Daphnia pulex: one gene and its partner. The protein of the gene in region 2 purifies or fractionates together with the protein of the main gene of each other region. This does not show direct contact. Links are inferred from orthologs where the notes say so. Each region holds a gene or a part of one and is shown on either strand. Other genes may lie near its edges. The genes, in order: OTU domain-containing protein 5-B-like and zinc finger CCCH-type with G patch domain-containing protein-like.

The links.
Region 1: the proteins of zinc finger CCCH-type with G patch domain-containing protein-like (region 2) and OTU domain-containing protein 5-B-like purify together in Homo sapiens (affinity purification with mass spectrometry; 3 studies listed by BioGRID, with this or other methods). This does not show direct contact. The link is inferred for Daphnia pulex from reciprocal best matches to the Homo sapiens genes ZGPAT and OTUD5.

The regions. Positions count from the first base shown.
Region 1 is NC_060018.1:2,564,146-2,568,567, reverse strand, and holds the start of OTU domain-containing protein 5-B-like, read left to right. Parts: upstream 1-1,537; 5' UTR 1,538-1,688; coding exon 1,689-1,820; intron 1,821-2,120; coding exon 2,121-2,281; intron 2,282-2,346; coding exon 2,347-2,590; intron 2,591-2,652; coding exon 2,653-2,808; intron 2,809-2,878; coding exon 2,879-3,035; intron 3,036-3,101; coding exon 3,102-3,782; intron 3,783-3,845; coding exon 3,846-4,081; 3' UTR 4,082-4,422. Other genes in the region: zinc transporter ZIP1-like, read right to left, coding at 1-849. UniProt on the Homo sapiens protein: Deubiquitinating enzyme that functions as a negative regulator of the innate immune system. Has peptidase activity towards 'Lys-48'- and 'Lys-63'-linked polyubiquitin chains. Can also cleave 'Lys-11'-linked ubiquitin chains (in vitro).
Region 2 is NC_060017.1:8,204,436-8,208,699, reverse strand, and holds zinc finger CCCH-type with G patch domain-containing protein-like, read right to left. Parts: upstream 2,877-4,264; 5' UTR 2,850-2,876; coding exon 2,649-2,849; intron 2,587-2,648; coding exon 2,407-2,586; intron 2,331-2,406; coding exon 2,065-2,330; intron 2,007-2,064; coding exon 1,834-2,006; intron 1,775-1,833; coding exon 1,508-1,774; intron 1,440-1,507; coding exon 1,251-1,439; intron 1,184-1,250; coding exon 888-1,183; 3' UTR 682-887; downstream 1-681. Other genes in the region: uncharacterized protein LOC124193369, read left to right, coding at 1-86, 169-681. UniProt on the Homo sapiens protein: Transcription repressor that specifically binds the 5'-GGAG[GA]A[GA]A-3' consensus sequence. Represses transcription by recruiting the chromatin multiprotein complex NuRD to target promoters.

The DNA of each region.
Region 1 (4,422 bases), on a different chromosome or scaffold from region 2:
AGTCAATTGCTGTCTTGCCATTGTGATACCAACTGAAAAGGCGATGAGGGCTTCATGAAACACGATCGCGAAAAACAGGTGAAAGATTTTCATTTGTTCTGTCTGCAAGCCCAAGGCCATTCCTTCAAATAATGAGTGAATGCTAATAGCCATGTACAGCAGAGTTAGGCGTAGGGTTCCCCCAGATTTGTTCTTGAGAATTCTTTCTACTTGATGGTGGCTGCAGCCTTGGGCTGGTTCCAATTGAAGAACTTTTTTAGGACTAGGTGCTTCATCGCTATCTTCTTCCTTAAAGGTGACCATAGGAACATTTTGATAAATCCTGGGGATGTTGATTTCCTTTAGAATCGAAGGACTCTCTGGTGAGACTGCTTCTAATGCTTTTTTGCCAAGCAGTTCTTCTGAAGCACTTTCATCTCTGACTGTGTTATAATAATTCAGTTTACTTGATCTATCAGTTTCGTCAAAAGCCATTGGGACTTCCCAGTCTCCATTGGTCTTGTTCTTTGAATTTTGGCATTGAAGAATGAGCTGTTCGACTGACATGATAAGGAAAAATCCTAAAATGCATGTGAATTCAGCAACAGGAAAATCAGTTGTTATATTAAGGTCTGCAAGCACTTTCCTCGTCTTGTCTTGCGCATAAGGAAGTAGTCCTAGAAAGCACATTGCGATGAAGACTCCACCAGCCATGGAATTACAGAATGAAATTATTCTTTCTGTACCACGACTAAAGTTGCAGTCCTTGGTAGATTTCTTGGCTACAATGCAGACTGGAATCAAAGCACAAATTGCCATAACAATGTACACAATCAAAGCAGTGACAACCAGCAGTACTTGGCTATCCATGTTGACTGCCACTATGCTTGGATGTGTCTGATGGACTGATGCAACTGTTTACTCTTTTAGAATTTTTCGTTTAGTAATTTTCAGCGTTCGCACAGGCCAGATGCCACTGACTCTACTCACTGTCCCTTCGCGTTATTATAAAACTCAAAACTACTTGAGACAAGGGCACTTACTGCGCCTTGAGCGAAATATTAACTCGAGCTCGGTCAACACCCTCTGTCGGTCGATTTGTATTTATTTTTATTTTTTTTGTGCTTTACATCTTCTGCTCGTTTTCTTACTTCATGCTAGAAGGAACCTACGACAGGTTCTACAATAATGCTACAATAATTAATTCACCTACCTGAAAGGTATATGCAGGGTGATTTTATTCCTTCCTGGCAGAAGTTATGCAATGTTTCACTTAAAAAGTAAAATTCCAGACACACGATCAAAACGAAGTCAATGTCACAATACTGGCAGAGCAGACAGAATGTTCGTATACAATTAACATCCTTGGTTGCCTTCTTCGAGCAAAAATTCGGAAATTGAAAAATACATATTAGCTAGAAGCTAGCTAAAAAATATTTTTCAACACAATTTTGCAAACATGAAAAATTATGTTTTTTATTCATAGCATCACTCCGAAAATTCATTCCATTGAAAATTTGAAACATTTTGAAACTCTATGTTTTCGCTTATTCATCGACATGGCAACCTCTAAATAATTTAGACAGAAAAATAGACACGGCCATCTTTCAGTGGAAAATTTGTCTTTTTCGTTGAATAGATAAAAGAAATCGTCGAAGAGTACATTTCAAGGGCGTTTCGGTAAAGAGAGTGATCTTTGCACAAGCATCATGACAATTCTGCCGAAAAAGAAGTCATCTCAATCACGGTCGGAATCCGAAAGTAATACTGATGGATCTCCCCTACAACACCTCTCAGTTGGGAGCAATAATCACCTTTCACACATTGGACCAGTACCACAGGTAAAAAAATTATTTTTATAAATATACCCCAGTATTTAAACAGCCTTTGGAAGAAATTATGGCTGGAAGTTTCAGTGCATCTTCTAATTGACATCTGAAACAACCACACAAAATGGCCGGTCCAGCTACAACCAGTACTTATGTACAAGAAGCAAATGGTGCTTTGTTCATTACACCCTTGCCATTTAGGCAGTGCTCAATGAATAAAAGCAAATAGTATTGATAACTATTATTGACAAAGATGACAAAAAGTCAGCATTGTTGATTCTTATTAAAATGTATTTTACATAAATTTTACAGGTAGCAGAAACTTGCAGTGTGTCTAGGCTGTCTGGAAGAACATCATCAAGCCATCCCCACAGCCACGGACACAGCAGCCAGTCATCATCTCGCTATGAAGATTATGACCTGGAGAGTGGTCCTAGTCAAACAAAAAGAAGAATGAGAGTCAGTCCCCATAGGTATTTAATCTCAGTTATTATTTTGTTGCATTGAAATTTGACAGGCATATTTTTTTTTTATTTAGAGCTGTCCGCCCCAAGCACAGAGATAGGAATTCATCAACCTCTGCCATACCTAGTACTAGTTCAGCCATGCACAGTGTTGCCTCTTCATCCAGCTCAGGAAGTTCTCCCACACCAAGCCATACAGTACCAGATCCTTCTTCCCATGAAGATGAATCAGGAAGTGGATATAACAGTGGAGATGAATATGGACCTGCAAGATCTTCATCTTCTAATGTCCCCATTTCTGAAGAAGAATGGGAACAGGTATGTTTCCTAAGACAGAAGTGTTATTCATAGAACTCCATCAATGCCAATATGATTATTAGAAGGAAAGATGGTTTGAGAAAAAGATGCGGAAACGAGGTTTTATTATTAAGCGGATGGGTGAAGACGGAGCCTGCTTGTTTCGTGCCGTTTCTGATCAAATCTACGGTGATCAAGAAATGCACTCAATGGTTCGCAAACATTGTATGGACTATATTGTAAGTAATTGTCCTGTTGTATTTTTATGAATTTGAAACATTACGTCTATATTTATATTTGTCATAAAAGGACGCAAACGGAGACTACTTTTCACAGTATATGACTGAAGACTTTGCCGCCTATGTGAGTAGAAAAAGATTGGAAAATGTACATGGCAATCACATTGAGATGCAGGCTATGAGCGAAATGTACAACAGACATATTGAAGTATTTTGCTACAGCGTCGGTAAGCCCTTATCATTTCGATAAAATTCGCTAAATAGAAGGCTTACTTAAATTTAACCCATTACAGAGCCGATCAATATTTTCCATGGTAAACATCAGACTGATGACGAACCTATTCGATTGTCTTATCATCGTGGAGTGCACTACAACAGTTTGGTTGATCCGTACAAAGCCACTGTGGGAGTAGGACTGGGATTGCCAGGATTTGTCCCTGGTCAAGCAGACAAGAAATTAATGGGTGATGCCATGCGACAAAGTGAAGAGACCTTAATTGAAAAAGCCATGTTAGAAGATAAAGTTAAAGCCACAGATTGGGAGGCAACAAATGAAGCTATTGAAGAGCAAGTTGCCCGTGAAAGTTACCTCGACTGGCTTAGAGAAAACGAGCGACGCAGTCGACAGCAGCAACGGTCCGGTCATTCGGCAACCACTTCCTCGAATGCCTGCGAGCTCCGTTCCCCAAGAACAACAGCAACGACGTCCTCTTCAGCTCGTAATTCGCCCAAACCATCTTTTGTTGAACACCAGCGGAAGTCTCCAAATGCTTCACCGAGAGCGTCCACTTCACGCAGCGCCACAACCTCTAGTAGTCGTGAAGGTGCATCAACTAGCCCTATCGCGTCACCGGCCGCTGGTACTTCAAGTTCAAACCCAGTGAACACCAGTAAACCCGATTGGGGATTGGGGCCAGGCTTTGAATTGGCTGAAACGGCTTCATTCCTGGGACAGTTGCCTCCTGACATGTTTGGTAACTGACGTTTATATCAACAGATATTTTCAGTTTAATTTTATGCTTTAAAATTGGCTAAAGGTTTAGCAGACTGGGAGGATGCTGGACTTTTGGCTCAAGTGCTGGCTGCATCGCAACAAGAGTATCTGGACAAGTTGAAAAAGAGCAGGGAAGCCATCGACCCTCACGACGACGAGACGATGGATAACACCAAACAGCAGCAAGAGGAGCAGCCGGTTGAACAGAGCAGTCGCGACAGTATGACGACAGATCCAACCAACGACCTGACCAGTGCGAACGGGACTAACAATAGTTAACCCAGACTCCTCAGTTGTTTTGTCTACGTGTTAGCTTTCCTTTTTTTTTCCCCCCGTCAGTGGCAGGGAGCTCAAGAGGCGTGTATCAGGGGAGGAGTCAGAAGAAAGTCCTTTCCATGCAAAATTGTTAATCTTTGATTCTCGGTCTAAATTTAGACTCGCAATGACGTCTGACTGACACAATTGGATTGAACTTGCCTGTACCCCCGTCTCCTCCACTGCCGATTCTCGCAAACTGGCTGCCAAATCATGTAAAAAAAATTCATCCGCGTTCAAAGTCCAGTGAAGCGAGAAAGGGAGAAATCACTTAAAAAAAAAAAAAAAAAAAATGAGGATTGTAA
Region 2 (4,264 bases):
ATAAAAGAAGAACCCAATTCCAAATTCTTCACTTGTTCACTGCAACGTCTGTCCACTACAAGCATTATCCCAATATGAAATTCTTGGTAAGTTCTTTTGTCTCTATCCAATTCTTTTTAATATATTTTCATTCTCTACCATTAACAATCAATTCAATTTAATCAATAGATCATCAGCTTCTTCTTGGCTTGCGCCTCCGCCCAATGGGTTGCCCCATATTACAGCCAATGGTCCCCATACAATCCTCAGTTTACCAATGACTTGTTGTCGAAGAGCGTTGACTTGAACAAGGACGGCCAACCCGATGTCCCAGTCTACACCGCAGCCCCCGCTCTCTTGCCCAACTACTACCCCTACGCCGGTCTGAACTACCGCGCTGGATTCCCCTACACTTACGGCGCTCCTTTCACCTACCCCTTCGTCCAGGCTGCCGCTGCTCCCGCCGCTGAGGTCAAGTCCACCCGCAGCAAACGTCAAGTTGCCGTCCTTCCCCACAACCCAGCTGAATTCCTCAACGATTTCCGTTACAAAAGCGTTGACCTGAACCAGGACGGCCAGCCCGACAACGCCGTTTACACTGCCCCAGTTGCTCCCATCGCTCCTGCCCGATTCGTCACTCCTTACCCTGGATTTACTGGTTACTACCCTCAACCTTACCCATTCTTCAACGGATTCTATTAATTTAACTGCCCGCTAACCCACCATTGAAATGAACTGTTGTTATAATTGTTATTACCTTCTTGTTTGGAAACTCTTATTGTTTCTTACTTTCTGATTACAAAATTCATATCGCATTTTTATGGATCATTGTGATTAGTTGAAACGAAGTTTAGATTATTAGTTGTTACACGGTTATCTTTATTGGAAGTATTACGGAAAAGGTCAGTTTAGAAAACGGTCAATTTAGAAGAGCTCTTTCTTTGCTTTTGCTCGTTCACTATGTGACGATCAGAAGCTCGAAGTCGATCTAAATCTTTTTCTTTCTCGGCCAGTCTCGATCTGATTTGCGAAACGGATGCAAGGTCACCACGATCACTCTGACGTTGAAGAGATTGTTTCATTTTAATGATGTCACGCTCAGCTCTGCGAATTTCTTCTCCGATCTGGAGGCTTTGAACGTTCAGCTTTTCACGAGTTAGCTGCCCCAAGTCAGACACTTTTGTTCGTGAATGCGAAGCCCCGTCTGTCCAATCAAATAAACAATAAAGATTGCTAAGGGCTGCTAACGGATGAGTTATTGGTACTCTTACCTCCTTTGGAATCCTGTCCACTGGTTTTTGTAAGCTTGGAATTGATGAAATCGAAAACTGATCCACGTTCGGATGCGTTGGCTATTTGACGCAATCGATGCTGGGCTTTGGCTTTTTGGCGTTCAAGTTTCTTTTCCACCGAAAGCATATTCCCACTTCCGGCTTCTTCTCTCAATTCCATACAACGATCTTTTTAAAAACCAACAAAGAGACCAATTAAAATTTAAAAGAAAAAGATATCTACTGATGCCACTTACCCAGTGATCGACCCGGCGGGAAAACCATGGCTTCTACTGGATTGATTCTACCTTCTCCTTCCTTTCCCAATCCAGAACCATGGACATACCCCATTTTCTCCATTAGTCTAGATCCAATTCCTCTAGTATGTTTTTCCCAGAATCCAAACGAGCCAGTTTCTTTAGCAGCTCCTACGTTATGTTCTTCTAGGCATCTCGGAGTAAATTGAGAGTCGTCGTCGTCTTCATCCTCACTGGATTCAGAGGACGAATCTTCGTCGTCTTCATCTGATGAAATCGAAATAATTTTGAAATAATTCTATGGCCATAAATATTGTAACCTTTACCTAGAGGATAGACAGCATGCAAATTGAGTAACAGTACATCATTGCAATGTTGGAATTTGACGGAAAACTCTGTTCCTTTGATGATGTCTTCAACAATTCCTCTGTACCACAGTTCATCTTTATACTTTGCTAATACTGTGCAGCCCTCAGTGATTTTGCTATAGTCTGGATCACTGTTTTGAAGTGAGAAAAAATAATTACTTTTAGATTTAGATTTGATGAGATACACACCTGAAATCTTGCACTTCATCCAATCGGACAGTGTAGCCATGGGAATAATGACACTTTTCATCTGGATATTTACAATTTCCTTCTAAAAAATATGGACATGGCTGCATTTTTTTAGTAGTGGGGTGCATGAAAACAGCTTTCACATAAACTAAATCATCCTCGCCTAACTCAGAACCAATGATAATAGCACTGTGGTATCCAACTCCACCCCATTCATATTTAAACGGAGCTTTACATTTCATCCCCTCTAATGCTGAAAGTTCTTCCTAGAATATAAAAATAAAACCAAACATTTCAGCTGATTCATTGAAATTATGCCACTTATTGTCAACCAAAACTAACATCCAAGTATGATTCATTTTGGCTGTTTGCTGATGAGGTATCATTATCTTCCTGGACCGGTGCACTTGATAGACTTGTTTCAGTAAGCAATATGATTTCTTCTAAATCTTTTACAATTTGCTGCAAGTCCGGTTTTTGTTCTTCATTCGCGATCAACAATGCATCTTGTATTTGTTTCAACTTCGTTTGAATAAAAACAACTTAAAAATTGCGATTCTTTAGAAAATTAAAATCGTGTCTACCTGATTTTGGTATATTTCAAGTGAATCCTGTAGTGATTGCACGCTTTCTGACATATTAAAAGGATAACGGTCAACTTCAAAACTGTAGCGAGAAAGACATCGAGCTTTGTCGAGAATTGAAAAGGTTTTGATGTTTTGTTTATAAATACTACGGTAGTCTGCTAGCAGCGTTGCAAAGCAATGAAAATGTGACGAGAGCATAATCTGTTAATCTAAAGTTAGATTAGATTTTTGCTAATGAGTGATTTCGATTTTTTATGATTTTAGCTAAATTTTTGGCTATTTTGAACAAAAATTTGGCCGTAATTGGCCATATCTGGCAACGTCGAAGGCCAAATGAAAAAAATCGCGAGTGATCGGCTGGAGTCTGGAGTTCGAGCACCGTCAGCCCGACGGTGCAATAGACTCGACCAAACCTGCATCTTCGACATTGCCCAGCATAGTGTAGGTTTTGCCTGCACTGTTGGCTCTGTAAGTGAAAAGTAGTGCATTCTTGTCCATCAAGAAATCTTGTACAAAATTAATCTTGCAGAGTCTTTGAAAAGATGTTCCTGTTTCACTGATGAGTCATCAATTTTGTTGAATTTTAATTTCGGTAAAGTGTTCTTTCCAGAGTGGTGTCTAGTCTTGAATGACGCAGAAGTTTTTTGTGCTCTTACAATAATGTGATTTCCGTTGATCGATTAAGTGCTGTTTTTGATTTTCTCGTCTAATGGCTTTATTCTTACGTGAACTTTCAAATAGTTGATAGGAGATCCATCTGACGGTGCTCGAATGCAGTGCGTCCAGACTCCAGCCGTCCACTAGATTTCTTGATGGGCAAGAATGCACTGCTTTTCACTTACGGAGCCAACAGTGCAGGCAAAACCTACACTATGCTGCTGGGCAATGTCGAAGATGCAGGTTTAATTCCTCGTTCTTTGGATGTTGTATTCAACAGCCTGAAAGATAGACTACTTAAGAATCCTGCCCTAAAGCCACTCGTTCTTAATGAAGTCATGAAACTGAATCATAACCAAATTGAAGCAGAAGAGTTGGAGAGGTAGTATTTTCTCCTTTTGCAAAGTTTTTAAAAATAGTTTATTTGAAATAATTTGAAATTTTTAACCTACGTACTGTTATTTTCAGGGCAATTTTGATGAATGGATTTCATTTCAACTCTAAAACTAAGGACAGCATTTCCTCGGTTCCTTTTGGATCATTGGATGATTGGAATATTCAAGCTTGAGAAGAGACAGTTTGCCCTCTTCAACACCCTCAAGATTATTTTTCAGTTTGGGTATCGTACTGCAAAATTTATAATGAACAAGCCTTTGATCTACTGGATGGATGTGACAAAAAGAAGAAATGAGTAGCCTTGCGTATTACTGATGATTGCAAGAAGAAATTCTTTGGTAAAGGTAACGTGTGCTATTTAATATTGTGTGAATCAAAATTTTTTTAAATAATTTATTGTTTTCTAGGCCTTAAAGAGATTTGCGTCCCTTCTGCTGATGAAGCTGTCCGAGTTTTGCTTTTTGGAAAAGAGAACTTACACTTTGCTGCTACCAAGTTGAACTACAATTCCAGTCGATCTCATTGCATCTTTACGGTTAAGTTATTTCGAACAAACCATT